Linked DNA regions of Notamacropus eugenii. The protein of the gene in region 2 interacts with the protein of the main gene of each other region in a biochemical or structural test. Links are inferred from orthologs where the notes say so. Each region holds a gene or a part of one and is shown on either strand. Other genes may lie near its edges. The genes, in order: CD58 and CD2.

Region 1 (15,570 bases), about 270 kb from region 2:
TGGAAAGACTTACATGAACTGACACAGTAAAGTGAGCAGAACCAGAAGAACATTATACATAGTAACAGTAATACTGTGCGATGATCAACTTTGGTAGACTTAGCTCTTCTCAGCAATACGATAATACAAGACCATTCCAAAAGACTCTTGACAGAAAATACTATCCACATCCAGAGAAAAAACTATGGAATCTGAATGCAGATTGAAGCACACTATTTTCACTTTTCTTTTGTTTTATTTGTGTGTGTGTGTGTGTGTGTGTGTGTGTGACTTTTCCCTTTTGTTCTGTTTCTTCTTTCACAGTATGACTAATATGGAAATGTGTTCACATGACTGCACATGTATAACATATTAGAATGCTTGCCATCTTGCAAAGAGGGGATGGAAGAGATAGAGGGGGAATAGGAGGAAGAAAAACTTTGGAACTCAAAAGCTTATTTAAAAAATGAATGCTGAAAACTGTATTTATAAGCAATTGAAGAAAAAAATACTATTTATCAAAAAATAAAAAAGTTACTTAAAGTGATAAGGAAAGAAAGTTTCTTCAGGGCACTGTGCTCATCACTTTGTTTTTATCTTCCTGTTTTGCTTCTGCTGGTCTTCTGCCCTCCTCCACTTCAGTCCCAGAACCAATGGTCCAGTGCCACTGTGGGACCCTATACTTCTCATTTTTTAAGAGTTCACTACCTCTGGGTGTCTCCCCAGGCACTCAAGAATGTACTGCCCCCCACCTCCCTGCCAAGCTGTGGCTTGTTTCCCCTCCTGTCCCTCACCCACTGCCTCCTCTGAGTCATCCGAAGAGGGCCCTGAGTAAGAAGCACAACCACACCCCAGGGACCTTCTAATAACAAATTAGAAAGGCATTTAGGTAGCTAGTCAAAAGTCAGTATATCATATTTCATTATTTAGCTCTACTGTTAGAAACTATATTCACTGCTGTGAATTCTCCTTCTTTCTTTGGTTTTCAATTCACAAGACCGGAACTGACTTGGCACCATCTGTAAATGCTCATTGTAGATGTAGACTGGATTTCTAGCAGAGGCAGTCCGGTAGCTATCAAATCAAGTCAAGATCAATTATCAAAGGACTTGCCATTCAGACTCTGAGTCAAGTCAACAAGCATTCATCTCAATCTACTACATGTCAGGCAATCGTGTTGAGTAATGAGAGTACAAAGCAGGATACAAAAGAGTCCCAGCTCTCAGTCTAATGGGGGGAAAATTAGCAAACAACTACTTTTGCATGGCATAGTGACTTGCCCAGGGTCACATAGCTAGTAAATATCTGAGTCTAGGTCAGGAATTCTTGACTCTGGGAACAAGATATAGACAGAACGAATTGGAGATAACTTCAGAGGGAAGGTGCCAAAGTTAATATCTATGTCCTGATAGAGATCTGCCATTTTTTAATCAACTGAAGCCAACCCAAGTGGTACAATGGATAGGAAGATTGAGTTCAAATCTAGATTCAGATGCTGGGCAAGTCATTTAATCTCTGTTTGCCTCAATTTCCTCAAATGTAAAATGGAGATAATAATGGTACCTACCTCAAAGGTTGTGAGGATCAAATGAAATATTTGTAAAAAAAAAAAAAAATTCCATGAATATTTTCCCCCTCCCTTTTTAATTATATCCCCGGTGTCTTGAACGTAGTAGGAACTTAAGAAAACAATAAATCTAAAATGGGAGTGGCTCTTAGAAATCCTCAAGTCCAATCCTTCTATTTTACAGATGAGGAAAGAGGTCTGGAAAGCTTTAAAGGTTTACCCACATCACCTATATAATAAACAGAGGCCAGATTTGAACCCAGGTCCCCTGACTCACTGTACCACACTACCCCTCAATAAAAATTTATTGTATTAAATGCTATCCCTCCACTCCCAGGTAGACTATACACATCTTCAGAGAAAGATTTGGGTTGGTTCATTTTTGTCATCTTTTGCTTTTGTTTTTATACCATCTACATTTTCAAATATATCAAATATATCCCTCTTCCACCTTCCTGGCAAACTAAGTGGAACAGTGGATAGAGCACCAGACCTGGAGTAAGGAAAGCTTGAGTTCAAATTTGGCTTGTGACACTTAGCTGTGCGATCCTGGGCAAGTCACTTAACCCTTTCCATCTCAGTTTCCTCCTCTGTAAAATGGGCTGGAGAAGGAATTGGCAAACCACTCCAGTATTTGCCAAGAAAACCCTAAATGGAGCTATGAAGAGTTGGGCATGACAGAAATAACTGAACAACAAAACCACTTTCATATTCACAGAACCATTTCCTATTACATAGAATTTTATGGGGGGAGGGGGAGATGGAGGAGGAAGAACAGTTCAACAAAACTTACCAACTGATCAACTGAGTCTGAGACACATGCAATATTCTACTCCCAGAGCCCCTTACCTCTGCAAAGCTGAGAAAAAGGCCCATTTTCCCCTTTTTTCCTCTGGGATCCAGCCAGGTAATTACAATCACACAGCATTCAGGTTTTTCTGTAGTCCCAGAGAGTGATTTTTTCATTTACAATCAAGGTGCATTTTGTTTTGATGATTCTCCATTAAATGCCCTCTAGTTAGGTTAGTCAGCAAACATTTCTTAAGCCCTTATTAACTATCCCTGAGGGTTTACTAGATAAGGGAGGTAGGTGTCAAAGGAGATAGAGGCTAGGCCAGGAGTCAGGAAGACTCAAATCTAGACTTCAGATGTTCCCTGTGCAACCCTGGGCAAGTCACTTAACCGCTGACTGCCTCAGTTTCCTCAACTGTAAAATGGGATAATAAGAGCACCTAGATGCTCCAGTTGTTGTGAGAATCAAGTGAAATATTTGTAAAGAGCTTAGCAATAGTTCCTGGCTCATAGTAAGTGCTTAATAAATTCTTATTCCCAACTCCCCTATGTGTCAAGTACTAGTACAAGTCTGTGAGGACTAGGTAATAGTACACAGATAAATAAATAAATGAATGATGAATTAAACTGATGAGGGAAATGACTCAGCAGAGTATATAGGCAGAGGGTGATAGCACCTATCATGAATTCCTCCTATAACTTGCAAATCCAAAAGGCAGCACACAATCATCAGGCCAGCCCTACTCTGGCTGCGACATGTCAAAGCTATCTCTCTCAACCTTCCCCTGGTTGAGTTTCAGCCTACAATCCCTCCAGGGAGGTTTCTCAATTCTCAAAATTCTCAAACGAGACCTAGAAGAAGTAGGGGGGCAAAAGTATGGATGGAGGGCCATGATCAGATTTCTCTGAATTTATTAACATTTCTTCCTGAAAAACTGGTCAAAACTGGGTCTGAGGATGATTACAAAAGAGAAGTTTCCAGTAACGTTTTTGTTCTCTGGAGATCATTTTGATGGACAACATCCATTTAGATTTAGAAGAGATCCATGAACTTGGTTTTTAAAAATATTTTGATAACTTAAAAAAATATAAATAGTTTCCTTTGTAATGTTGTATGTTTAATTTTATGCATTTAAAACCATTATTCTAGTAAAGAATATAGGAGCAGCTGGATGGCTTAGTGGATACAACGTCAGACCTGGAGTCAGGAAGATTCATCTTCCTGAGTTCACATCTGGTCTCAGACATTTCCTAGCTATGTGGCCTTAGGCAAGTCATTTATGCTTGTTTGCCTCAGTTTCCTCATCTGTCAAATAAGCCGGAGAAGGAAATGACAAACCATTCCAGAATCTTTGCCAAAAAAGCCCAAATGGGGTCACAAAGAGTCACATATGACTAAAAAAGACAGAGCAACAACAGATGTCTTGCGAAACAATTTAAGTCTCCAGAGTAAGTCGTTTTTACCTTTATTTTACTGTTCAAAAAAGCAGAAAAATCACGAGAAAATTTACAAAAAAAAAAACCATCCCAGAGGAATAAGACAGACATCCTTAAATCAGTTTTTCAAAAACAAACAAACGAAGCCTTAAACCTTACAAGAGAACCTAGGTGCCTTACAAATGTACTTAAAATATTCATCAAAATCTCTAACTTTCCGAGTACCTTTTTCGGGAAAACATCACATTCCAGGTTGCTCTCGGTAAGGCACCTGACACTCATGATATGGGTGGAGACACAAAAAAAGTAGGTCCAGTAATAGTAGTTAGTAGGATTCATAGCTAATGGAAAAATACCAGCCTGAAGAATGTGGCTTAATGGAAAGAAAATGGACCATGAAGGGAATATCTTGATGAATACTTCAACACTCCACATGCCTATTCCTGTTCAATACTTACTATCAATGGCTTAGATGAAGATACGGCCATAGTAGGTGATTAATAAATGCTTGTTGGTTGATATCTTGATAAGGCTTTTGCCAAGGACCCAGAGGTGGGAGGTAGGGATGGCAGACTGGATAACAGTCAGGATTTATTAGATTTAAAGCTGGAAGGAACCTTAGAAAGGTTATCAAGTTCAACTTCCCCATTTTACAGATGAGGAAACTGAGAAACAGAGAGACTTAGTGATTTGCACAAGGTTACACAGCTAGTTAGTAAGTATCCAGGGGCAGAACCCAAACCTAGATGTTCCTGATTTCAAGTTGAGCATTTTATCCATTATTTGTGCTGCCTTATTTCAACAGGTGGACAGGATGAAATTTAATATAGAGAAATAAAAATGCCTGCAGTTTAATGAATTTTTAAAAACTCTACAAGATGAGAAACATATGGTTTAAGAAAAGTTCATCTGAAAAGGATCTGAGAATTTTATTTTTTTTTCCTTTTTTTTTTTTTTATTAAACTTTTAATTTTGGGTTACAAATTTTCTCCCCTTTTTTCCCCCTCCCCCCCCCAGACCCAAGTTTTCTAATTGCCCCTGTGACCTATCTGCTCTCTCCTCTATCCTCCCTCCCTGCCCTTGTCTCCGTCTTCTCTTTTGTCTTGTAGGGCCAGATAGCTTTCTTGACCCCTTAACCTGTGTTTCTTGTTACCCAGTGGTAAGGACATTACATTTGGTCCTAACACTTTGAGTTCCAACTTCTTTAGCTCCCTCCCTCTCTACCCCTTCCCCTTGGAAGACAGGCAGTTCAATATAGGCCATATCTGTTTAGTTTTGCAAATGATTTCCATACTAATTGTGTTGTATAAGACTAACTGTATTTTCCTCCATCCTGTCCTGTCCCCCATTACTTCTATTTTCTTATGGTCCTTTCCCTCCCCGTGAGTGTCGACCTCGTATTGCATTCTCCTCCCCATACCCTCCCCTCTATCCTCCCCCCCTTCCTGCTTGTGCCCCTGTCCCCCACTCTCCTGTATTATGAGATAGGTTTTCCTATCAGAATGAGTGTGCATTATATTCTTTCCTTTAGTGGAATGTGATGAGAGTAGATCTCATGTTTTTCTCTTGCCTCCCCTCTTTATCCCACCACTAATAAGTCTTTTGCTTGCCTCTTTTATGAGAGATAATTTGCCCCATATAACTTCTCCCTTTCTCCTCCCAATATTTCTCTCTCACTGCTTGATTTCATTTTTTTTTTTTTAGTATATGATCCCATCCTCTTCAATTCACTCTGTGCACTCTGTCTCTATGTATGTGTGCGTGTGTGCATGTGTGTGTGTGTGTGTGTGTACTGAGAATTTTAAAAGGTCACAAACTGGGGGGCAGCTAGGTGGTACAGTGGACAGAGCAACTGCCACGGAGTCAGGAGGACCCCAGTTCAAATCAGACCTCACATACTTATTAGCCATGTGACCTTCCACAAGTTACTTTAACCTGATTGCCTCAAAAAAAGAAAGATCATAAACTCAGTGGGAACATGGTGAAGTTGCTTTAAAAAAAGATTCCAATATTTTTTTAAAAACCAGATGAATAGATGTGTAATGTTCTGATTCCAATAAATAATTATCCCATTGTACTGAGGGTTAGTCAGCCCACATCTGGAAAACTAAGTTCTATTTTGGAGTTACATATAAAAAAGACAATGAGACCATGTCAGAAATGACAACTAGAATGAAGACCAAACCCTATCGCACAAGAAATGATGAAAAGATGCGTTTCCTTTGGCATGTTTCACTTGGAAAAGACAACGGGTAAGGGATCTGTCTTCAAATACCCCAAAGGTTTTCATGGAAAGAGGACACTTTTGTGCTCTATTCCAAAGAATACACTTAGGACTCTTGGGCTACTGGGAGGTAAATGTTAAATTAACATAAAGAACTTTCTATGTTTTAGAAATCTACTTTGAGCTGTTTTTTTCCTGTTTCTCCACCCCAGGGGAGTAGGTGGTGCAGTGGATAGAGCACCAAAGCCTGGAGACAAAGAAGATCCGAGTTCAAATATGGCCTCAGACATTTACTAGCTGTAGGACCCTTCAGCAAATCTAAAACCCCCCTTTACCCTGAAAATCCTAGGCTCCTAAGATTTGTTCCATAAAAAGCAAAGTGCTAGTTGCTATGGCAAAGATAATGTCTAAGATGGGCTCTTCACTATAAGAAGCATGAGTTTCAAAATCCTGAGTTCAGATCCAGCCTCAGACACCTACTAGTTGTGTGACCCAGCAAGTCACTATTTGACTCAGTTTCCTCATCTGTTAAACGGGAATAATAATAGCACCTACTTTCCAGGATTATTGGGAGAATCAAAGGAGATAATAATGTAAAGTGATTGGCACAGTGCCTAACATATATGCTATTTTTTTTCTGTTGGCTATGGAGAGCCATGGAAGATTTTCTAGCTGGAGAATAACATATTTTAGGAAGATCCGGCTGACATCTCTGGTAAGGATGAATTGGAAGGTGGAAAAATGGAAAGGTAAGTGATTACTGCATTGAAACAAGCAGTCATCAAACAATATGAGGCAGACTGTGAGTTCCCCAACTAGGAAATCAAAGGAAAAAATAGATAGGAGGAGGAAGAAAGTTAAGCTCACCCAAGAAATCTTGGAGGTTTACAAGCCACCTTGTCTCTTGGTTTTCCCTGTCTTATCCTACAAAGTGGCAATTTCATTTGACAATGGGGTGTAGGCTGCTCCTGACCTGGGTCAGAAATGAAAGATTCATTAAAGCTATCTGAAAGCGCTACCCAGTTTTGAAAAGAAAAGAGTGGTGAAAGTTGGGGGCGAGGGTGGGGGGTGGGAGAGAGCATAAGAACTCAGTTTTTGGCAAGGTTTTATCATCTGGGTGGCTGTGGACATGCTGGCCCTGTCCCCCAAAGTGCATCTTCTGCGCTTTGATCAAGGTCAAGTGCCCAGAAACTTCTCTCCACAGTTTCCTTACTTTATTGTGGAGACAGGGAGGAAAGAAAAAGGGGGAGGAGATTTTGTTGACTTTGTTTTTGTCGGAAACTGAGAGGCCAGAGAGGCAGAAAGGGTGGGGAACAGACAGGGAGGCATCGAGAGGACTCTGAGAGCAAACCACAAATTTGGTATTTTTCTTAGGATTGATCCAAATTCGGCTCTGGATCTTTCAGCAGGAGATCCTTGTCCAGCAGCATGCTTGCGGCGTCCCTACTTACGAACAACTTCCCCTACTGTTAACCCGGCTGTTTATCTGGGAGGGATGCCTTCCGACTCCCAAGAACCATCCCACTCCCCAGCCCGAGTTTGGTGCAGTGCAGGGCGCTGGTGGATAGGAATTCCCAATTTCGTGATCTAACGCTATCTATCTCTGGGCCGTGGCCGGAGAGCAAGGCCAGACTTACCGAAAAAGATGGCCAGTAGCACTGCAAATTCCAATAGGATGTTCCTCACACAAAATTCTATCGCCATAGAGCCACAGATCTCGAACGAGAAAAAGGTGAGATGCACTCTCTGGTAGAGGTAGCTGGAGGGTCTGAAAAGGAGCCAAAAGAAATTAACTCCCCACTTTCTCCACTTTAAAAGGGCCAGTCCCAATACACTCCTTTCCCCTTCCTTCCTCTTTCACCCCAACCCACATAGCTCCAAGATCTTGTTCTTTAAGTGCGGGGTTCCCCCACCCCTTTTATTTATTTCCCTTCCCTCCTCGGCCCCCTCTCCCTTCTCCCCACTCCCCGCAACTCCCCTTAGTAAAACTTACGGAGCGGAGAAAGTTCGATTGGTCCCTTTCGATTTGCCCCCGTTTGGGTGTATGATTAAAAATAGGTCTGTCTCTCGTTGTTTCGGTAGCCACGCAACTCGTTTTCAGAACGCGCCTTTGGCAAAAACTGTTTCTCAGTTTGGGTGCGGTACTTGTCAGATCAGAGACTAACAGGTTCTGGGAACCCGCAGGATCTGCCTCCGAAGCCCGGAGAGCCGGGAGGAAGGCCGAACTGAAAAGTGGGCGTGGCTTGATGAGGTAAGACTTGTCCTGAGAACAGCTGATATGATTCAGCCAGTGTTTCTTTATTACAATTGGGGAGGGAGGTGTAGAAGGGGGGCGGGAGGAACCTAGAGAGAAGCCGCTTTTACTTTAGGGATTGCTATCAATCGTAAGGAAAAGCAAGCACTGCCTGTACTACTTTACTACAGTCTGTTCCTTGAAATTCCACGCTGCTTAGCCCCTGCAGCTTTTCGAATTCTCAAGCGTGGGATTCAGAATCTCATCTCACTTCTCTAACTAGTTCTTTACTTACCTTTAACGCATCCTCTGCCATCTCAGAGCCCTTGAGGGTCCCCCATCAAAATGTCCTGAATGCCTATCCTATGACTAGCAAACTCTCACTACACCTAATTCTGGCCACGCAGGATCCCTACGGCTGACCCATGGTTATCAACATGGGACGTGCCCTTGACAAGTCCCCATCCCCCTTTTCCTTCCCCTCCCATTGTGCCCACTGGGACAACATTCCACTGAACAGCCTCCCCTCCATTCTTGTCTTCTCTCTCTTGTCTTTTGAAATTAATCATCTGGCTTTCCCTCTGTTCCTCCCTCCCACCCCCCAATCCAGCCGATCCTTGGCTGTCCTATCCAGGTCTGTATGTACCTTCTCTTGACACCAGGCACACCTCAATAACAGCCCTGCATCAGATGTTTATAAACATTTCTAGCTCCTTCTGCCTCATTCAACAACCTCTGCTTGGAGGCTCAAACTCAGTCAAATCAGGAAGCATTTCCTAAGTGTCAAGCAAAGAACTGGAAAGTCAAATGCAATGTAAGGGATGTCAGAAGACAGTGCCTGGTCAAGGGTATGATGAACAAAGATGTTCAGAGAATAAGGGATGGGGCCCAGAGAGGAAGAAAGGAGTTAACATGACTGGTCTGTGGGCCCTTCCTTAAAATGGAGGTTCTGGGAGGAAATGAATAATCCCCCATGGCAGTACTTGGTTCAAAGGTTTTGAAGGGCAGAGGAGTAAAGGGTATGGCGTGTTGAAGGCAGGAAGACCTGTCCACTAGCTAGGTGACTTTGGGTGAATTCTTGAACTTTTCTCTGAACTCCACTTCCCTTTTTTGTAAAATGAGGAGGCGGGGCTCAACCTCTAAAGCCCTTCCTACTTCAAATCGATCATCCCAAAGTCATTCTTTCCCCTTTCTCAGGGAGTTACCTAGCTGAATCACAGCCTTTCTCTCCACTCCAACAACTTCTCATTCTTGGGAACTTCAATATACAGGTTGATGCCCCCTTAAACAACCTGGTCTCCCAGTTCACCAGCCTTCTCAATCAAATCCCATGATTTGTGAAGACTGTGACGTCAGCTCTACCCAGAATCTGGTGGACAATCTGGTGGATACTCTGTAATTCAGGCCTGACTATTACCCATCCATCCATGTCTCTAAGTGCTACCCATTCTGAACTCTAGTTTTTCCTCCCTCTGGCTGTCACTCTTGTTGTGGCTTCATTTTCCTCCCTTCTCAATCTTAATCATATAATTAACCAATTAACTCACTGTCAACTCTCAGATCTTTAAACCTGAACCCAGAGTTACCTAGTCTTCCTTTTCTCCTACTCTTACACTGCTGAAGTTCCTGGAAGAGCTTTGACAACCATTCTGACTAGGTCCAAGACATATTTGTTAGCTCATCTCAGTTAGGTCCTCTTAACTATACTGTAATCCTTTTACTCTTCTAATTTACTCTTTATCCCAGGGGGTCATGACCAGTCATCCTGACCTATGCCTTGCCATTGGACCCTGATGATTCTGAAGGAGAGAGGTTAATGACTTTGCACAGATCTGCCTCACTTAAATCCAATTCACTTGCAAGTCCAGACATTACCCTCCTGATGTCATTGGTGCTCTCAGAGAATGAAAGACAAACAACAATTCGACAGAGGCTTTTCCAAACCTTCTGTCCTCAAGCTTCCTCCTCCTCCTTCTCCAACTCCCTCTCAGCAGATGACCTTGGCTCATATGTCCCAGAACACCTCGACATCATCTCCCATTCTCTCCTCACTTTTGTGAGTCCCTGAAAAAAGGGAGATCCTTCTCACCAACAATACCAAGTCCAACCCCTGTACCTGTGCCCATGATCCCATATCATCCTGTCTCTTTCTCCAACAGCTTTTCCCTTTGGTCATTGCCCCTTCCTCTTTAATCCAAAATCTTTTCCTAATATGGGGTTCTTCTGCTGGCTAGACATATCCCAGTCCTGCACATAGTTGGTCATACCGTGGTTTCCTCAGCTCCTCGAGAACAGGGACTGGTTATTGGGATGGGGGAGGATGTTATTTGTTTTTGTTTTGCCTTTCTTTGTATCCCTAGAATTTAGCTTACATTTAAATGCTTGACTTTATCACTAAAAAACCTTCACTTGAGTCTTTATCCATTCAAATTGTCATCTTATGTCTCCTCCCTTTTTATAGCCAAACTACTAGAAAAAACAAGCAACCTCCCCTTCCTTTCGTCTCATTCAGTTTCTCATCCTATTCTAACCTAGCTTCTGAGTTGATCACTTGACTGAAACACCTTTATTAGAATATCTTAATTGCTCAAGTAGGCGACCTTTGACCTTTGACAGGTGACTCCCCTTTCCTTCCCTGAATTTCCATGACACATCATCTATCTGTTCTCCTACCTGCCTTCCTAGTCTCCTCTGGGGGATCATTTTCCATGTCCCACCCTACTAACCGTGCTCCAGGTTCACAATGGTCCATCATCCTTAACTCTTCATTCTCCCTCATCCCCCACAGATAATCAGTTGTCAAGTTTTGCTTATTCCTCCTCCATATCTCACTCTCTTGTGTTTTCTCCACTCACAGGGCCACCTCCCTTAGATTAACCCTTCTCCATCTCTGGACTGAATATTGCAATAACCTCCTAACTGATCTGCTTGCTTCTGGTCTTTTTCATTTCCAATTTATCCTCCACACAGCTGCCAAATTGATTTTCCTAAAACACCTAAAGGTCTGATTCATTGCTCTCCTTCAGAAGTTTCCATGCCTCATTTTTTGCCTTTAGGATGCTCCTCTGTCACATGAAAGCCCAACCCATATTTCTAGACCAATATCACACCTCTCCTCCCCACCCTTTGGTTTCTAGAAAAACTGACCTAAATTCCATTCCTATTAACAGGCTGGCTGGCTTGCTTCACCAAGCTTGGAAAATCTCTCCCTTTCCTCCTCAGACTCTTAGGATACCCAATCTCAGTTTTGGCCAAGATCAAATGTTGTCTTCTACACAGGGTCTTTCTGATCACCTCCTCCCCTCCAAATTATCTTACTTACTTTCTACATACTTTGTATTCCCTTATACATGTCTATGTGCATGCTCGCCTGCACAAGCTCCTTCAGGCAGAGGAGGTTACAGGTTTCTGGTTGTTTCTGTCTTTATATCTCAAGTACTTGGCACATAGTAGATACTTAATAACAGCTTGGGGAATAAGCAGATGAATGAGAAAGGCAATACTCTACATATTTTTAAAAATAGCTGAAATGACTAAGTCATTTTGAGTATGATAAATATTCATATCAACTCTGAAGGACCTGTGAAGGAAGAGGCTATCCACATCTAGAGAAAGAACTGTTAAACCCAAGGACGTATGGCATGGTTTTACACACAGATGGTCATATTTGTGTCTAATGGTAACCTTCTCTAGGGTGGGATAGGGACGGAGGGAAAAAAATGTAAAAGTGCACAGTAAAGAACAAAAGGAAACGTAGACGTTTGCACAGAGAAGTAGAGCAGCTTTGAAAATGATGGGTGGTTTTTAATTACGTAGTTTAAAAGAAGCCAGCTGTGAAATGGAAATTCATGCTTTTGTATTGAATCCTCTCCTTATGTTGTACTGTGTACATGGAAATGTTTTTTTTTTTTGCCTTTGAATTTAAGTTCAAAATGAATAAAAAATTTTGGAATATCTGAGGGAGAGAGATGTCACTTTTTTGAGGGGAAGGAATATTAAAAGGGGGTAATCCTTCCTCCAATCATAGAGAAAGTGGTACCTGACATGAATTCTGAAGGAACGATGGATAAATGTAAATGATACTGAGCAGTCAGAAGCAGAGCTGAGGGAGGCACCAGTACCAGAGACATTGATCAGGAGTGAATTACATCAAGGGGCCTATTGAAATAAATGGAATGGGTAAGGCCAGTGAGGGAGAGCAGAGAGATTAAAAAGGGAGGGAGAGAGACAGACAGACACAGAGAGACAAAGAGAAAGACAGAGAGACAGAGACAGAGAGATACAGAGAGAGACAGAGAGAGATGGTTGAAGACAGAGCCTTAGAAGTACCTATATTTAGAGGGCAGCAGGGTCAGGATGGGACAGCAAAAATAGAGTGGTAAGAGAGTTAGATTAAAGTGTCACAGAGAGGGAGAAAAGGTGATCAGTGAAAGGATGGTCAACAGAAAGGTCAAGGGGGACTCCCCTGGGAAAAGGCTATTCAGTGTGTCAGTCAAGAAATCATTGGTGAGCAGTTTAAGTAGAGTGATGAGAACAGAATTGCATAATGCAGGGGAATGAGAGGAGGGCATTGAGAAGAAAGAGACAGTGACTATGGTATCTTGATAAGGTCACAGTCAAAGGAAGGTTTTAGGAGTCTAAAAAAAACCAAATTAAGTTCTTATATTGTCAGCAGAAGGAAAGGAACCAGCAGAGAGAGAAGGACTGAAAATTAAGAGAGGGAACAGCTGGGAGATGATGGGTCCTTGATTAGGAGAACCTATCCTTCGAGGCTGGAAGGAAGAGTGAATTAAGGCAGGGAGGTCTGAGAGATGAAGAATCTGGCCTGGCTGTGCCTGGCCTTTGTGAAAAACAAGCAAACAAAACAAAGGATACATATCAATTTTACAAAGACAAATATGGAAGCAGATAACTGGGGATTCAGGGATAGGTAGCAAAGGATGATCCAAGCGGGTGTCATCATTCAGTAAAGGCAGAACATAAAAGATCAGAATGAAGGAAGGCTAGCTATGGCCTAGTGTTCTACTTCTTTGATGACATTGAAAGAAGAAAGATCACAGAAGGGATGAGGCCAAGGGAGTCCTGAAGAGTATTTAACCGACTCTCCAGGAAAAAAAAAAAAAGGTGAGCAGGACACATATTTACATATGACCTGCAATAGTAGCATTTTCTCTTTCACTTTCATAAATTTGGACCAGAGGTAGGGAAACCTAGGGCCTCAAGATCACCTGTGGCCTTCTAGGTGGTCAAGTGTGGCCCTTTGACTGATTCCAAACTTATTAAGGGGATTCCAGATCCCCTTAATAAAAGGATTTGTTCTGTAAAACTTGAACTCAGTCAAAAGCCCACACTTGACCACCTAGAAGGCCACAGGTGACCTTGAGGTTGAAGGTTGGCTAGCCCTGGTCTAGACAATCACCAAATAAGCCAGGCCCTGATTTGAAGGTATGCGCATATGAAAAACTGAGCAATCAGCTGGTACAGACTAGCTCAAGCACTCTGCCCCAAATAGTGTGACTGTCAGGGTTATAAAATGGACAATGGAAATGCAAAGCTGGGAAGGTAGAACCACTCAGTTTCTATTTTCTCCACCATGGGTTTTTTGATTTTTTTTTTTTGTTTTTTGGCAAAGAGGTTTAAGTGACTTGCCCAGGCTCACACACCTAGTAAATGTCTGAGGCCAGATTTTGAACTCAGGTCCTCCTGACTCCAGGGCCAGTGCTCTATCCACGGTGCTACCTAGTCATCCTCCATCATGATCTTTTAACTACCATGGCTCCATTCTTTTCCATGCCAGTCAGTTTGCCCATCTCATCATCTGCCTGTTGCTGCTGAATTGACCCTCCTCACCTAGATCACGACTATCAACAGGGTACCTGAAACCTAGACCTCCAACTTGGAGTCATCCAACCCCAGGTCTGAGGAAAGTTAATCCTTTCATCTTAGGAGTTCCCCTCTGAAGGCCCACTTTTGTCCACTGTATCTACAGGCTAATCTTAGACATCAGCCTCCCATCCAGCCATTCAACCAGGTCATTTCACTGTCACTGTACCTTCACTTACTCCCTTTTTCTTCCCCAGAACAAAGCATCATCCCTGGTCAGGACTCCCCTATAATGTGTTATTTTCTCTTTTTAAAATAGAAGTTTCTGATGTTGAGAGAAATGAGCAGAACCAAGAGAACATTGTCCACGGTAACAGTCACATTGTATGACGCCTAACTTTGATGGACTTCTTTCTTCTTGACAATACAAGGATCTAAGATAACTCCAGAAGAGTCATGGTGGAAAATGCTGTCTACATCCAGAGAGAGAACTACGGAATCTGAATGCAGATGGAAGCAGACTATTTGATCTCTTTTTTTGTCTCTTCTTTCTCATGGTTTCTCTCATTGATTCTAACTCTTCTGTACAACATGACTAATGTGAAAATGTGTGTGTTTATCCTTCGTTGCTGAAGAAGAAATGATGACATGACTTGCACTTGACTTTGTTTTGAGGGAGGGAGGGCTGTGCAGGTCACCAGCCTCACTTCTCTTCCAGAGCCATCTAAATCCAGTGACCAGATATTCATCAGGATGACTGGAGATGACCCAGGATGAGGTAATTGGGGTTAAGTGACTTGCCCAAGGTCACACAGCTAGTGACTGTCAAGTTTCTGAGGTGAGATTTGAACTCAGGTCCTCCTGACTCCTGCACTGGTGCTCTATCCACTGCATCACCTAGGTGCCCCAATGTGAAAAGAGGTTTAATATGAATATACATGGAGCCTATATCAATTTACATGCCATCTTGGGGTGGGGGAAGGGGAGAGATGGGGAGAAAATTTGGAACTCAAAATCTTATGGAAGTGAATGCTGAAATGTTGAAAACTAAAAATAAATAAATAAAATAAATTTAAAAATATATGTGTATGTATGTATGTATGCATGTATGTATATAATCCTTGAGGACAAGGGCTGTCTCTTTTCTAATATTTGTATTCCCAGCACTTAGCACAGTGTCTGGTATGCAATAGGTGCTTAAAAAATGCTTTTTCATTCTTTCATCCATCCATTCATGGAAAAACAGTAAGCAGGAAGTTGAAATAGAAGACAAATTGCTACTCCTCAATGAATTCTAGCACCAGGCCTGAATGAACTGCATCCCAGGTTACTGAGTGCCAAGCCTCCTTTGGTGATCATTTTAAAGACTGCGTGTAGAAGGAGAGATACTTCAGGGCCAGGAAGGGGCAAATGTGCCAATTAAGGGGAAAAAAGAAAGAGGAGAAGGAAGATTCTAGAAGTCATAGATCATTGACTTTGACCAGAATTATGATCTACAAAGTCCTCAAAAGGCGG
Region 2 (15,755 bases):
CCAAAACTTATGGGAAGCAGCCAAAACAGTACTTAGGGAGAAATTTATATCTCTAAAAGCTTACAAGAATAAAGCAAAGAGCAGATCAATGAACTGGGCAAGCAAATTTAAAAAGTAGAAAAAGAACAAATTAAAAATCCTCAATTAAACACCAAATTAAAAATCCTGAAAATCAAAGCCAAGATGAATGAAACTGAAAGTAAGAAAACCATTGAACTACTGAATAAAATTAGGAGTTGATTTTTTATGAAAAAACCAATAAAGCATATAAAACCTTGGTTAAGATGAGATTTTCTTTCAAAAAAGAAAGAAAACCAAATTACTGAAACCAAATTTCAAAAATGAAAAACATGAATTCAATACCAATGAAGATGAAATTAATCAATTTCATATTAATCAACTCAATAAAGCAATCATTAAGAGCTATTTTGCCCAACTACATGCCAGTAAGTCTAACAATCTAAGTGAAATGGATAAATATTTACAAAAAATATAAGTTGTCCAAATTAACAGAAAAGGAAATGGAATACTTAAATAACCCTACCTTAAAAAAAAGAAAGTGAGCAAGTCATAAATAAACTCCCTAAGAACAAATCTCCAGTACCAGATGGATTCACAAATGAATTCTAATGAACATTTAAAGAACAACCAATTCCAATATAAACCATTAAGGAAAATAAGCAAAGAAGGAGTCCTACAAAATTCCTTTTATCACACAAATATAGTACTGATACCTGAACTAGGGAGAAGGAAAACAAAGAAAGAAGACTATAGACCAATTTCTCTAACGAATATGGATGCAAACATTTTAAATAACATACTAGCAAGGAGATTACAAAAGTATATGACCAGGTAGGATTTATATCTGGAAAGTAGAGTTGGTTCAATATTCGGGAAACTCTCAACACTGACCATATCAATAACAAAAACAATAAAAATAATCTCATTACATCAATAGATACAGAAAAAAGCCATTGACAAAATACAACACTCATTCTATCAAAAACATCAAAAAGCATGAAAAAATGGAGCTTTCCTTAAAATGACAAGTAGAATCTACCTAAAACTATTAGCAAGCAATATTTATAGTGGAAATAAACTGGAAACCTTCCCAATAAGATCAGGGGTGAAGCAAGGATGCCCATTTTTGCCACTATTATTAAATATTGTACTAGAAATATTAGCTATAGCAATAAGAGAAGAAAAAAGAAATTGGCAAGGAAAAAACTATCATTCTTTGCAGATGGTAAGATGGTATACTTGGAGAATCCTAGAGAATCAATTAAAAAACTAGTTGAAGTAATTAACAACTTTAGCAAAGTTGAAGGATATAATTAAACCCATATAAATCATCAACATTTCTATATATTATCAACAAACTCATCAGGAAGAGATAGAAGGAGAAATTCCACTTAAAATAACTGCAGACAATATAAAATACTCGGGAGTCTACTTGCCAAGAAAAACCCCAGAACTATATGAGCACAATTACAAAACACTTTTTGAACAAATAAAGTCAGATCTAAACAACTGGAGAAATATTAATTGCTCATGGTTAGGCCAAGCCAACATTATAAAAATGACAGTTGTACCTACATTAATTTACTTATTCAGTGCCATACTAAACTACAAAAAATTTTTCATACAGCTAGAAAAAAATAATAACAAAATTCATCTGGAAGAACAAAAGGTCAAGAATATCAAGAAAATCAATGAAAAAAATATGAAGGAATTTGGTCTAGCAGTACCAGATCTCAAACTGAATTAGAAAGGAGTAATCATTAAAAATCTAGGACTGATTAAGAAACAGAGTAGTGAATTAATGCAAGTGATTAGGTATACAATGAACAGTAGTATATGAGCATAGTAATCTGGTGTTTGATAAAGCCAAAGATCCAAACTTTTGAGACAAAAATTCATTATTTTATAAAAATTGCTGGGAAAACTGGAAATCGGTTTAAGAGAAACTAGATATGACCAATAGTTTTCACAGCATACCAAGATAAGGTCAAAATGGGTACATGATTTAGACATACGGGGTGATATCATAAGCAAATTAGGGAAGCATGGAAAATTTTACCTGTCACATATATGGATAAGGGAAGAATTTGTGACCAAATAAGAGATAGAGAGCAACACAGAAGCTAAAATGAATATTTTAGATTACATTGAAAGATTTTGCGCAAACAAAACCCATGCAACCAAGATTAAAAAGAAAGCAGGAAAAATTTACGGCAAGGTTCTCTGATTTCTCAAATACATAGAAAACTAAGTTAACGTTAGAAGAACACAAATCATTCCCCAATTGATAAGTAATCAAAGGATATAAACAAGCAGTTTTCAAAAGAGGAAATCAAAGCTACTTATAGTTCTAAATTGCTGCTGATTAGAGAAATGGTAATTTTAAAAGATCTGATATACCACCTAACACTTATCAGTTTGGTTAATATGACAGAAAAGGAAAATAACAAATGTTAGAGGGGACATGGAAAAATTGAGGCTCTTGGTGGAGTTGTGAACTAATCCAACTAGAGAGCAATTTGGAACTATGCCCAAAGGGCTACAAAAAATGTACATACCCTTTGACTCAGCAATACCACTATTCAGTCTGTATTTCAAAGAGATCAAAGAAAAAGGAAAAGGACCTATACATATAAAAACATTTATAGCAGCTCTTTTTTTGGTGGCAAAGAATTAGATATTGAAGGGATACCCATCAATTGGGAAATGCCTGAATAAGTTGTGATATATCATTATGATGGAATATTATCGTACTATAAGAAATGGTGAGCAGAAGGGTTTCAGAAAACTTGAGAAGACATCTAAGGACTGGTATAAAATGAAATGAGCAGAACCGAGAGAACATCATATACAGTAACAGCAATATTGTACAATGATCAATTGCAAATGACATCTCTGTTCTCAGCAATTCAATTATCCAACAATTCCAAAGGGCTTACAATGAAAAATCCTTTCTACCTCCAGAGAAAGAACTGATGGAGTCTGAATGAAAACAAAGCACACTTTGTTTACTTTATTTTTTCTTGTTTTTTTTTTTGTCTGTGTCTTTCACAATACAGCTAATATGGAAATTTGCTTTGCATGACTTCACATGTATGATCTATATGAAATTGCTTGCGTTCTCAAAAGGTGAGGGGAGAGAGGAAGGGAGAAAATTTGGAATTCAAATTTTTAAAAAAAAACAAATATTAAAATTGTTACATCTGAGAAAAAATAAAATAAGACATAAAAATTAAATATAAAAAGATTACAGGTAATACACTATTGTAAAATCAAACAACTTCAAAACACTTAGGAACTCTGATCAACCCAGTGGAGTCAACCACAAGTCCAAGGAACTCATGATGAAATATTTTGTACAGATAGATAGTTGGTGGATTCACAATGAAGATTAAAGTATATTTTTATTTTTTCTCTTCTTTTCTTTACTTTTTTGGGTGGATATGGTTATTGAAGGAATTTGTTTTACTTCACTATACACATTTATGGTTGTGTTTTTCTTGCTTCCTCAGTTAGTGAGGGAGGAAGATCTAGAGAAGTGAAAATAAAATAAAATTGAATTTTAAAAAAAGACTGTGAACTACAGAATAGCTGTTGATCTACATAAAGCTTCCTCATCAGGAGATACAGGTTTAGACTAAAGGGGAAAAAATACCAAGTTGGCCTAGCAGAGTGGATAGAATACCATAGAAAGAAAGATAAGTCTTTGTGCTGTAGTCTGGCCTCAAAGTCAGGAAGGCCTAGGTTCAAAACCTGCCTCTGACATTTACTCAGCCTCTAAGTCTCTACTTCTTCATCCATAATACGGAGATAATAATATCTCTAGTATCTTTCTCACAGAATTGTTATAAGGCTCAAGTCAGATAAAGTACAGAAATTGTTTTTACTCATTTAAAAGCATACATATATATATATATATATACATTTATAACTATATAAATGTCAGTTATTATGGTTGTTATGAACATGGTTAATTCATACCCGCTGCCAACTACACACCTGTACAGGGAGTTTGGTCCACAATCCACTCCTCACTGGCTTGGTTTTTCAGCACACATTTGAATTCCCTTGGTAGTGGGTCGTTCTTTGGCCAGGTGTACTTGAGCCTCATGCCCTCTTTATTCAAGTTCCCCATCTTTAGAGGCTGTGTCCCATTATCAAACAAGATCAGCTCAGCATTAGTCCCATTATGAACCTCACAAATTATACTTCCCTCTGTGCAGTTCCATGTCATTTCTGGCTTTGAAACAGCCTCTTTGAAAAGAAAAAAAAATAAAACTCCATTTACTTTGAGAACATCCCTGAATGGAAAATTGGTTCTAGTTTGTGTAGCCCACATGGACTCAAAGCAAAGTAGGGATTGGGAATATGCCTCTCAGGCCCTGGTCAGGTGTGAAAATCTTATGGGTGACAGGCCACTGTAGTTCCATTACATTCAACAAACATTTTAATGCCTACTGCATTGCAATAGAATATAAACTCCATGAGAACAGGGATCACTTGTTTTTATCTTTATAGCCTCCTGGCCAAGCACTGTACCTTGTACATAATGTGTGTTTAATAAAGGTTTGCTGAATTTAATTTGAGAACACTGGGCTAGGTGCTGTGGGACATGAAAGATTTAGTTAAACCAGTCTTTCCCTCACAGAACTTACTAGTCTAGTGGGACCATTTAGGAATAAGTATTTCCCAAGGCATAAAAGGTAGAGAAGGTGACTAGAATGTGAATGTATACCTACAGTAAGATTTTTACTTAGCTCGAAATTAAGATTGCTTCCTATGATTACTGGGGAAGACAAAGGTGCTTTGAGAATGGAAATGTAAAAAAAGAAGTTACCTTGTACTATTAAGGAGAAGGGGGAGGGAAAGGGTGGGCAAGAAGTCCTAGAAAGAAAATACAACAGGATGCTTCATGAAATAATGAATTTTCCATGCCTGGTAGTGTGTAAGAAGTGGTTCAATAACCATATGTTAGTGAGGTTACAGAAGGAATCTATATCACAGGTAAGGTATCAAGCTAAGTGAACTATAAGGTCTTTTAATTGAGATTATTTGACCTTGGGAAGATATTGTATCATAACTGAGAGGGTTGGCTTTGGAGTTGAGAAGACTAGTGTTCAGGTCTGACATCTGGGTGAGCTAGGTGGTGCAGTGGATAGAGACCAGATCTGGAGTCATGAGGACCTGAGTTCAAACTAGCCTCAGACACTTACTGGTTGTGTCACCCTTTGGCAAGTCACTTAACCCCAATTGCCTCCCCTTCACCAAAAAAAAAGCTTGCCTCTGATTCATATTTAGTTTGCAACCCTGGACAAGACACTTATAGCAATTTTGATTAAATGTAGATGAGTGCATAATCTTCATTGGCACAGGGTACATCACACTAGCACTTTCCTATGCCGATGAAATCATAAAGTCTGGGCATATTTAGGGAATTCCATTCATTTTTCATTTCATGTCATCTTCCTCCTGCAGCTAACAAGTTGCCTCATGTAGAAGCCTGGGATTAGGTTACTGAGGACATGGGAAAAACAACAGAACGAGGCAAGAATTGGGGTGGGGGGAGATCACATGGGGAATCAGGTCATCAGAAGACACCTTCCTCATGAAGTACATGACATGAAATTTCAGCTGGAGCATCCATCCATAGTCAAAACCTTATCAGCTTCCCATTTGTTTCTCCACTAACCAGTCCTTTATTAAAATCCCTAGCCAGGAAAAGACCATAGAAATGTTGATTGCCTGATGGGCAACCACCAATGAAGGAGACAGAGAAAAGGAATACTCACCTATCACATGCAGAGTCAATTCTTTCTCCAACACATTTCTGCCATTTTTATCATACACTGACACCTTGTAGTTTTGCTCAGAGGTTTTCTGCAGTTTTTTAATTTTCAAGGTTCCATTTGGGAATATCTCATAGTTGTGACTTTCATGGTTAGCCTTGGGAATATTTACATTTCCTTTTGCAATCAGAGTCGATCCTTCATACCACCGTATATCATGTTTATCTTGGTCCTTCGGGAGATCAGGGATGTTCAAAAGGATGGACTGATTTAGTACACCCCAAACATCATTGTTTTCTGCCATGACATCTGTTAAAGAAAGCAAGGACATTGTAGAATCATCAGATATCAGGAAACCATTGAAGAGATTGGGTCCCCCCCAAGGTCCCAGAGCTAAAGAACAAGCGGTTGAGCTGGGTCTACACTGTAGGTCTTACCTGACTTCTAATCCAGTGCTCTTAAAAGGAAAAAGAAGACAAGAGAATGTACAAGGGGATAGTCCCACAAGGAAGAGAAACTGTTTCAAATCCCCTTAGATTTCTACACTCAGAAGTTTGGTTTTTTTAAAAGCAGCTTCTCTAAATATCTCAGGAAGATGGAGGAACCAACAGAGACCCAAACAGTTCACTTACCTTTTGGGGAAAAGAACAAAAGAAGCAGGTAGATGACTAAAACGTGACTTTGGAAGTTCATCTTTGGAAGGTATCTCCAACTTGGGTTACCCAAAATTCATCAAAGTGAGAAGTGGCAATTCTCCAGCAGAACCGCTTGTCTTTCTGTTTCTCCTACATTTGTATTTAAGAGTTCAAACTACTAAAGGTACAGTATTCTAATTTGGCTGGGTGGAGATAGGGGGATGGGAAGGGTGGAGATCAGGGGAAGGATGCCAAGCTTGCTGTAGGCACAAGGACAGAAAAAGAGTTCTCTAAGCATAAACTGTCTTCAAATGTTCAGTGAAGGGAAACAGCAGAATTATGGGGAGGAGTTAGAGTATTCAAGGTCTTCCAAAGTTCATTCTACCCTCCTGCTCCCCTTTACGGCTTCTTCCCCCTTTTTCACACAGACAAGCAGGAAATGGAGCTAAAGTGGGCACTGTGATCTCACAAGATCTGATCTGTTTTAAGACTACTTGAGTGCTAGAAATTACATTACTGGCGCCCACCAGAGACTTTCTTGTTTTTGTGGCTTCTTACCTATAAATAGTGCCCAGTCGTAAACCCTTTGATAATAGAGGAATGATCTCCTCTTGCTTTTGTGAATGGTCTAACCAATATTCATGGAGAGTTCGCAGAGTGCTTTCTACACATGATTTTGTTTGATCCATACAGTAAGATTTTTTTAAACTTGGGCAATATCTTTTTTTTCTTGTTATTTGTCACACCCATAAGCACTATATTAATCCCTCCAATTATTTGTCATTCTTTATTTTTTCACATAAGTACTTTGCAATGTTACCTTATCTTAAAATATGTATTTAGAGAAGCGATTCTTAAACTTTTTTTGGGCCATGGACTTCTTTGGTAGTGTGATAAAGCCTATGGACTCCTCAGCATAAGGTTCAGCAACATTTCTGAGGTGGGGGCAGCAGGTGCTATTATCCCCATTTTCTAGATTAAGAGATTGAATGTCAATGAGTTTAAGTGACTTGCTTCATGGAAGTGCCAGAGATGGGATTTGAACTCAGCACTTCCAAATTACAGCTCCTATATTCTATCCACTACAATATACTGTTCCCACACCATCTTCCTCACTTCCTCATCCTGCCCTCTCACACTACCCCAACCCAGTGTGTCTGGAAGGGTTTGTATTCTAGCCTTTGACCGAAGGTTTAGACCATAAGTTCTTAACCTTTTTTGTGCCATGAATTCCGCTGACAATCTTGGGAAGCCTATGGACTTCTTTTCAGTCATGTTTTTAAATATACAAAATAAAATACACAGAATTACTAAGAATATAGGAAAATACAGTTATTAAAATATTTTAAAAAGCAAATACAATGGTCTCAGGTTAAGAACCCCTACAGGTTAGTTCCTACAGCATTCTTTCTTTCATTTCAATTTGGCAAACATTTAGGCCTGTATCCTGAGTACTGAGCTAAGCAGAGGGGACAGTTGCACAGTATAGATGGAATAATTACACTCAAGTAGGAGAAATATGACACATATGCAAATAACTATAATGCAAAATAATAAATGATAATTCCTAAGAGAGGTGCAAAAGTTATGTGATGTCCAAGGGAAGAAAGGTCAGTGCTGACAGAGAGCATCATGGGGCTTTTGGAGGAATTAGGTCAAGATTCTTTTTGTTGCTGTCAAAAAAAAAAAGAAAGAGAGAAGATCAAAGGATTATGGATTTAATGTTGCAAGGGAGCTTAAGGTCACCTAATACAATACCCTCCTTTCAAAAGGAAAGAAAAGGGAGGTGAGGTCCAGGGGGTGAGGGGACTCATCCAAGGTCACCCACACAGGTACGAAGAAGCAAAGTCATTATTTGAACCCAAATCCTCTGATTCCAAAAGCAGCACTGAACCTGGAATGCCTTGGCATCTGGAGATGCAGAAACTTGGAACTTCAAGCCAAGGTCTGTGTATGACCACTGAACTCCAGCGGATAACAGAGGAAGGGGAAGGTTGGTAAAATGTTACATTTACTAAAGGCAAAAAAAAATATAGGGGAGGGAGGAAATTAATCTACCTGGAAAGCAATCAAACATCAAGAAATCTACCCCACTAAAATAACAAGCTAGACCCCAAATTTTCATTTTGATTTACCCCATTATTTATGGACTGTCTCTTGAGTATGAAACATGGTGCTCCTCACATCCACTGGGATGTAAAGTGGGAATGTGTTTTGATGGCACCATTGGCTATGTGAACAATTGAAAGGACCCAGAATTGACAGAATCGCAGAATTTTAAAGTTGGAGTAGTCCTCAGTGACCATTTAGTCTGACTCAGGCCCCCAAAAGAAACTCTCCTATAAAAATCCCCCAAAGTGCCATCCAGCCCTTGAAAACCATTAATGACAGAGACTCCTGCAGTCACCCTTTCTGGCAGTACATTCTCCTTTTGGATAGTTCTCTCAGGAGGTCTTCCCTGACATCAGACCTAAATGTGCTACTTTATGACTTCCACCCATTTCTCCTGGTCCTGTCCAAAGAACAAATTGGATCTCTCCTCCACTTAACAGACCTGAAAATACTTAGCATTCATGTTCCCCACTGAACCTTCTCTTCTCCAAGTTAAACAGTCCTAGTTCCTTCAACCTATCCTATCTTAGGTAAAGCAAGGATTAAGTCAGAAAGTTCTAAAAGGGCAAGTGGAAGAATGGGAACCTAGATCAAATCCAGCCCAGGTGAGTGAGCTTCAAGGGTGAGTTGCCCTTGAGTCCATGCATTGTCCAAACAAACTGCCCTGTTCTAAAGCACCGTGAATCATCAGTCCATTGGGGAGAGTTCATTCTTTTGAAATTTCAAAATGTGTTTTGTAGTTATAAGGGAACTGATACCCATAGAACATCTCTTTTAACGGGAGAAAAAATGAAAATAGAAGCAAAACTCAGGGTTGATCGCAGATGGTGTAGCAGGAACTGCCCCGGCTGGGTCAACTTGAACATTTTAGAGGACCTGGCTTCAAATCTCCTCTGTGAGACCTTGGGCAAACCACGTAACCTACCTTAGCCTTTGTCATACTCATATTTAAAATGAACAGTTTTGACCACATGGCTTCTGAGGTCTCTTCCATCTCAAAATTTATGATCCAGTGATCCTTTTCCTCTCTTTAGCTCAATTTCCTTCTCTTGTAAAATAGGGGATGGACTTAATCATCAAGGTTCCTTTCCAGTCTAAGATTTAATAATTCTGTGATTTAGTTCACCTGATCTTCTCAACTAAAAAGAAAAAGCTTCTGCCCTACTTAACATTTGAAACATCTTCATCTCTGTGTAAGAAGGCTAGGAGATATCAAAATAAGAATCCTAACATGGGCAGACATACTCTTGCTGCTGCTGACCCATTCAGTGGCCTCCAGATCGTCTTTTCTTTGGTACCTTTGAGAAAGGAAGACATTTAGGGGGAAATTTAGGAAGGCCAACCAGGGTCAATCAATACACATCTTTTTTTTTTAATACACATCTTTATTACACACTTAATATTCATGTTCATAGGTGGGTAGGGATGCATATAATTTATGTATGTACACACATATATTTACATATATACATATGTGTATTCACACACATGCACACAAACATACACACACACTCCTGGGGGACAGCTAGGCAGCACAGTGGATAGAGTACAAGGCCTGAAGTCAGGAAGAACTGAGTTCAAATCCAGACACACCAGCTGTATGATCCTGGGCAAGTCACTTAACCTCGTTTGCTTCAGTTTCCTCATCTGCAAAATTTGCTGAAGAAGGAAATGGCAAACCCCTCTAGGATCTTGGCCAAGAAAACCCCAAATAGGGTCACAAAAGAGTCAGATACAATTGAAATGACTAAACAACAACAACATGATACAAAATGAATACAAGCTATTTTGGGGAAAGTACGCTAGCCATTGGAAGGATGAGGAAAGGTTTCCTATGGAAAGTAATGCTTGAGATGAGTCTTGAAGGAAATCATGGGTTATAAGAACCAGAGGTGATTGGACAGTGTATTTCAGACCCCAGGGACCTGAAATATAGAGAAAAACAACAGAGAAATACAATAAAGAGAAGGCACAGTAACAGGAAACTGAATGTCAATTCTTGGAATGGTGAGTAAGCCACCATGCCTGGACCAAGTCCAAGAAGAGTATGGCAGGAAAAGACCAAGAATGTAAGAAGGGTCAGGTTATAAACATATTGAAATGTCAAATAGAGGAATTTATTTTTGATCTTTGAAGTAACAGGGAACTACTGAAGTTTATAGAACAAAGGAATAACACAATCTGAACTGCTCTTAAAGAGAAGCTTTTGGCAGTTCTTTGGAGGACAGATCCAAATGGAGAAGCTTGAGGCAAACAGATGGAAGGCCATTGAGACAGGTCGGGTGAGAAGGAATGATGGCTAGGGTGATGGTGAGTGAATGGGAGGAGGAATGGATGCGAGAGAAGTTATGAAAAAAGAAACAAGACTTGGCAACAGATTGGCTAGAGAAGTGTTAGTGAGCAACCAAGGCTTGAATCAGAGTAAGTGCAAGGATTCAGCCCCTAAAAGTCTTCATATACTGCTCTTCTCAGTGGAAAGAAGATTGGAATAGGAATCAAGGCCTTAGACACCAGGCTAAGTGAGCACAGCTGTGTGATCCTCAGCAAATCACTTAACCCTGTTTGCTTCAGATTCCTCATCTATAAAATGAACTGGAGAAGGAAATGGCAAACCACTCCAGTATCTCTGCCAAGAAAACCCCAAATGGAGTCACAAAGAGATGGACACGACTGAACAACAAATCCCCCCAAAAGACCTTGTATAATATAGGTAGCCAAATTTTTGTTGAATTGAATTAAATTATGTACCTCTGTAACTCTCTCTACGTTGCTCCTACATTTTTCTCTTTTTCTATCATTGCCAGTCCTATTATGTACCCTTCTTTACTTTTCTCCCCTGTCCCTCTTAATTAACCATAAAATAGAACTGAAGCATATTTTTAAACATTTTAATGGTGTTAATATTTTGGTGTTAATATTTTGCATATTTATTGTGCTTTTAAAAGTACTTGTTCTATTCAACAAGCCCTTATTAAGCACTTACTATGTGCCAGGCGCTGTGTACATAAATAATTGTAATATTTTTAAATTATTTGTTATATGAAATTAATATCTTCTCTCTATGTAACACTTTACTACATACAGAGATGCTATTATTATCCTCATTCTTCAGATGTGGCATCTAAAATTCAAAAAGGAATGTAATTTGACCCTAGAGACTCAGCTAATAATTGTTGGCTGGCTCCAAATGTGACTTCCAACTCAAAGTCCAGTGTTCCTTCTAGTATATATCATACTGCTCTTGAAGGGCAATTTAGATATTTATTTATGTATTTAAATTTTAAATTCACTACACTTAATTTTTAAAAGTGATCAAGTTCCCTGAGACATAAGGTTCAAAGAATAAGAACAAACATTTCTCAAAAGACAAATTGTAAACTATTAACAACTACGTGAAAAAGTGTTCTAAATCCGTAATTATAAGAGAAATGCAAATCATACAACTTTAAGGTTTTACCTTACACCTAGAAAGGCGGCAAAAACAACCAAAGATGGAATTAATCAATGTGGGAGGGGTTGTGAAAAATAGGTATACTTGACACAGAAGTGTCAGATAAGCCCTATGACCACAGAAGCCCTCAATACTTCAAAGCATCCCCAACAAGATTAAAATATAATTGGGAAATTTTTAACAAAATAAATAAAATACAATAAAATATAGATAACATTTTAAAGCTAAGTCAATATGCACACGCACACACACACAATCCTTTTAAATGGATGAGTAGCCCTTAGTTTCTATTTCAATTTCCACTGCACTTATGCATTGTTGGTAGATCTTTGAATAAGTATAACCATTTTGGAACATAATTTGGAATTATGCAAATAAAGTCACTAAAACATTCATGCCCTTTGACACAAAGTTTTCTACTACTAGGCATAAATATCAAGGAGGTCATTGATTAAAAGAAAGTCTCCACATATACCAAAATATTTGTAGCATTAAGTTTCATGGTGGGCAAAAACCGGGACACAAAGTAGATGTCCACTGATTGGAGAATGGTTAAAAAAAAAAGTTGTGGTACATGAATATAATGGAATGTTTATGTAATGAAATACACCTTTAAGTCCCAACTAAAATCCTGCCTTCTACATGAAGCCTTCTTCAAACCTTCTTAATTCCAGGGCTTTCCCTCTGTAATTATTTCCTATTTATCCTGCATATAGTTTGCTTTGTATATATTTGTATGTTGTCTTCCCTAATTAGATTGCAAGCTCCTTGAGGGCAGGGTCTGCCTTTTGGCTCTTTTTGTCTCCCCAAGACTTAGTTCGGTGCCTGACACATAGTAGCTGCTTAATAAATGTTTATTGATTCATTCTGTGGCATAAGAAATGACTAATAGGATGAATATAGAGAGGCATAGAAAGACTTACAAGAACTGTTGCTGAGCATACAAATACAGCGATGTCAATGGAGGGAAAAACAATAAAACACAATTGAAAATAACCATCCCAAAATGACAAAGTACAAACATGGCAACAAAGGACAAATAAGAGAAGACAGCTCCTCCAACTCCTTTGCAGAGGTGGTAGATCTCCAGGTATGGAACATTGCATATATTTTCCAATTTTTTAAATATATTGATCAGATTCCTTATTGTTTTTACTTCTTTACTTTTAAAACTAGTTTGTTATATGGGATAGGTTTCTGGGTGATAGAAATAAAAAGAAAGATATTCATAACATTGACTTTTTTAAAAAGTTGAATGCAATTTCTTCCTCAAAATACAAAACTAAAAATTAAGTTGCTTTTTACTTATGTATGGTATAATGCAAAGAATACTGAAGTTAGAAGGTCTAGGTTCAAACTCTGCCTCTGAAGCTTTCTACCTGTGTGACCTAGGGGCAAGTCACTTCACCTCCCTGGGCCTCCATTTCCTTATCTGCACAGTGAGGGGGTTGCACTTCATGACATCTGAGTCCCCTTCTAATCTCAGATCTCCGACCCTATAAGTGTCCAGTTCACATCAGATCAGATGGAGAACAAGGAGGAATGTACTATTAAGTGCATAATGTCCATTTGGGTTATAGCACTGAGACATCCTAGGCACACTGGGGGAAAAAAGCCTTCCCTTCCCCCATTCCTATACGTTTCAGTTCTATCAGACTCTCCATTACTTCCCCGATGCCAAGGTTAGCTAAAGACAAAATTCTTCAATAAGCCCTCCAGGAAGAGGCATCACCTCGTGGCTCACTGTTTCCCTCTGCTGGGCTCAGTCACCATCATCTTATCAACACAGGTTCTTTCCCCTAGCTGGTTAACACCTCAGGCTGACTCCCAGGAATATAGACTTAAAGTGGGAAAAGGCCTTTGGAGGTGATTAAATCCAGCCTCTCATTTTATGTATAAGGAAACTAAGGCCCAGAGCAGGGAAATAGTATGTCCTACAGAACAGAACAGTATAGCCAGGATTCATGCATACCTGTTCTTTACCCTAATTGTCACCCTTGTTTTGTCCCTATCAACCTCTGAGCTTCCTTTCTTCCCTGATCAATCTTGACCCCGTTGATCACTTACTTTGATCATGACTTCTCCTCCACTCTTGCCTTCTCCTTCTCCTTCTGTCATTTCCACTCCAATTCTTAACCTTGTGGAACCCTTATCATTCATTCATCTCTCCTCTCTAGAGACAGGTAGGTAGCCCAGCAGGGCAGCTAGGTGGTTCAGTGGATAGAGTGCTGGGTCTGGAGTTAGGAAACCCTCATTTCAAATCCTGCCTCAGACATTTACTATCTGTGTGACTTTGTGTAGCAACAAGAACCCCGGTATACACAGGAGGGCCTGCTGTGCAGGTTCTTAGATCTGTTTTTCTAAAAGGAAAGCAACTTTTGAGAGGTCAACAATCACATTCACCAACAGAGAAAATACAAGTAGAGAAATACGGATAGAGCTTCTAAGTGTCTGACCATAAGCAATATATACGTTATAGATCAACAGATACATCCAATTGTCTGACCATTACAGGCATATGTAGTTACCAGGGAGAAGTACCATCATCTGGGTTTTCTAAGGTGGGGTGTTAATACCTACTCAGAGTCTCAGTCTGGCACACAAACCTTCTTCCAAAGAGTAAGCCCCAAAGCAAAACCTCATCTCAGGGTATATATACACTTTTCAGAGCCAGAGGGCATCATGACCCTCCTGACCCAGTGCCTCAGTGAAATTAACAAAAAAAAATCTTCCCTTAATGGGCTTCAGGTGAGGCATATTAATGGGCAGGGAAGATCTTTAACTCTAATATTACAGCTTGGGCAATTCATGTAACCCTGTTTGCCTCAGTTTCCTCATCTGTAAAATGAGCTGGAAAAGGAAATGGCAAACTGCCTCAATATCTCTGCCAAGAAAACCCAAAATGGGTTTCAAAGAGTCAGATATGACTGAAATACTCAAAAACAATTGGTAGCTCAGTGGATAGAGTCCTGGACCTGGAATCAGAAATGAGTTCAAATCTAGCATCAAATACTTACTAGTTGTGTGACCTGGGCCAAGCCATTTAACCTCTGTCTCCCTCAGTTTCCCCAACTGTAAAATGGGGAAAGTAATGTTGTTTTGATGATCACATGAGCTAATTTGTAAAATGCTTTGCACAACGCTTAGTATATAGTAGGTACTTAATTAATGATCGCTTCATTCTTTCCTCAAGTTGTTGGGAGGATCAAATGAGTGCAAGGTGTGTGTGTTGAGGGGGGAGAAAGAGACAGAGAGGGAGAGGGAGACAGAGACAAAGAGGAAGAGGGAGAGAGAGAGAGAGAGAGAGAGAGAGAGAGAGAGAGAGAAGGGTAAAGCTAACCTGGTAACCAGCATTGATTGTACCCCATTCCTGGAATGCTCTTCTTCCTAAATTCAGTTCTTTTAGTACTCCTTACTCCTCCAAGGCCTAGTTCAAGTCCTCCAAAAGACATTTCCTTATTCCCCCAATTGTTAATGCTTCCCCCTCCCTGGGAATTACTTGTATAAAATTTTGCATTAACTTATCTGTGTACATATTGTTTTGCCCTAATACAGACAATCTGAACTGTTTGTGTGTGTCATGGACTGTTTTGGCAGCCTGGTGAGATCTCTAGCCCCCTTCTCCAAATAATGTTCTTAAATACATAAAGTATAAAATTAAAGGAAACCAACTACATTGAAATTCAGTTGTATTTTTTAAAGTTTACAAACCCCAGATCAAGAACCCCAAAGAGAAAGTAAGCTCCTTGA

The links.
Region 1: the proteins of CD2 (region 2) and CD58 form a complex in vitro, tested with the Homo sapiens proteins (3 studies listed by BioGRID and IntAct, with this or other methods). The link is inferred for Notamacropus eugenii from reciprocal best matches to the Homo sapiens genes CD2 and CD58.

The regions. Positions count from the first base shown.
Region 1 is NC_092873.1:296,272,733-296,288,302, forward strand, and holds the start of CD58 (lymphocyte function-associated antigen 3), read right to left. Parts: upstream 8,253-15,570; 5' UTR 7,993-8,252; intron 7,768-7,992; 5' UTR 7,704-7,767; coding exon 7,637-7,703; intron 1-7,636. UniProt on the Homo sapiens protein: Ligand of the T-lymphocyte CD2 glycoprotein.
Region 2 is NC_092873.1:296,542,228-296,557,982, reverse strand, and holds the start of CD2 (T-cell surface antigen CD2), read right to left. Parts: upstream 6,834-15,755; 5' UTR 6,501-6,833; coding exon 6,440-6,500; intron 6,117-6,439; coding exon 5,811-6,116; intron 4,276-5,810; coding exon 4,021-4,275; intron 1-4,020. UniProt on the Homo sapiens protein: CD2 interacts with lymphocyte function-associated antigen CD58 (LFA-3) and CD48/BCM1 to mediate adhesion between T-cells and other cell types. CD2 is implicated in the triggering of T-cells, the cytoplasmic domain is implicated in the signaling function.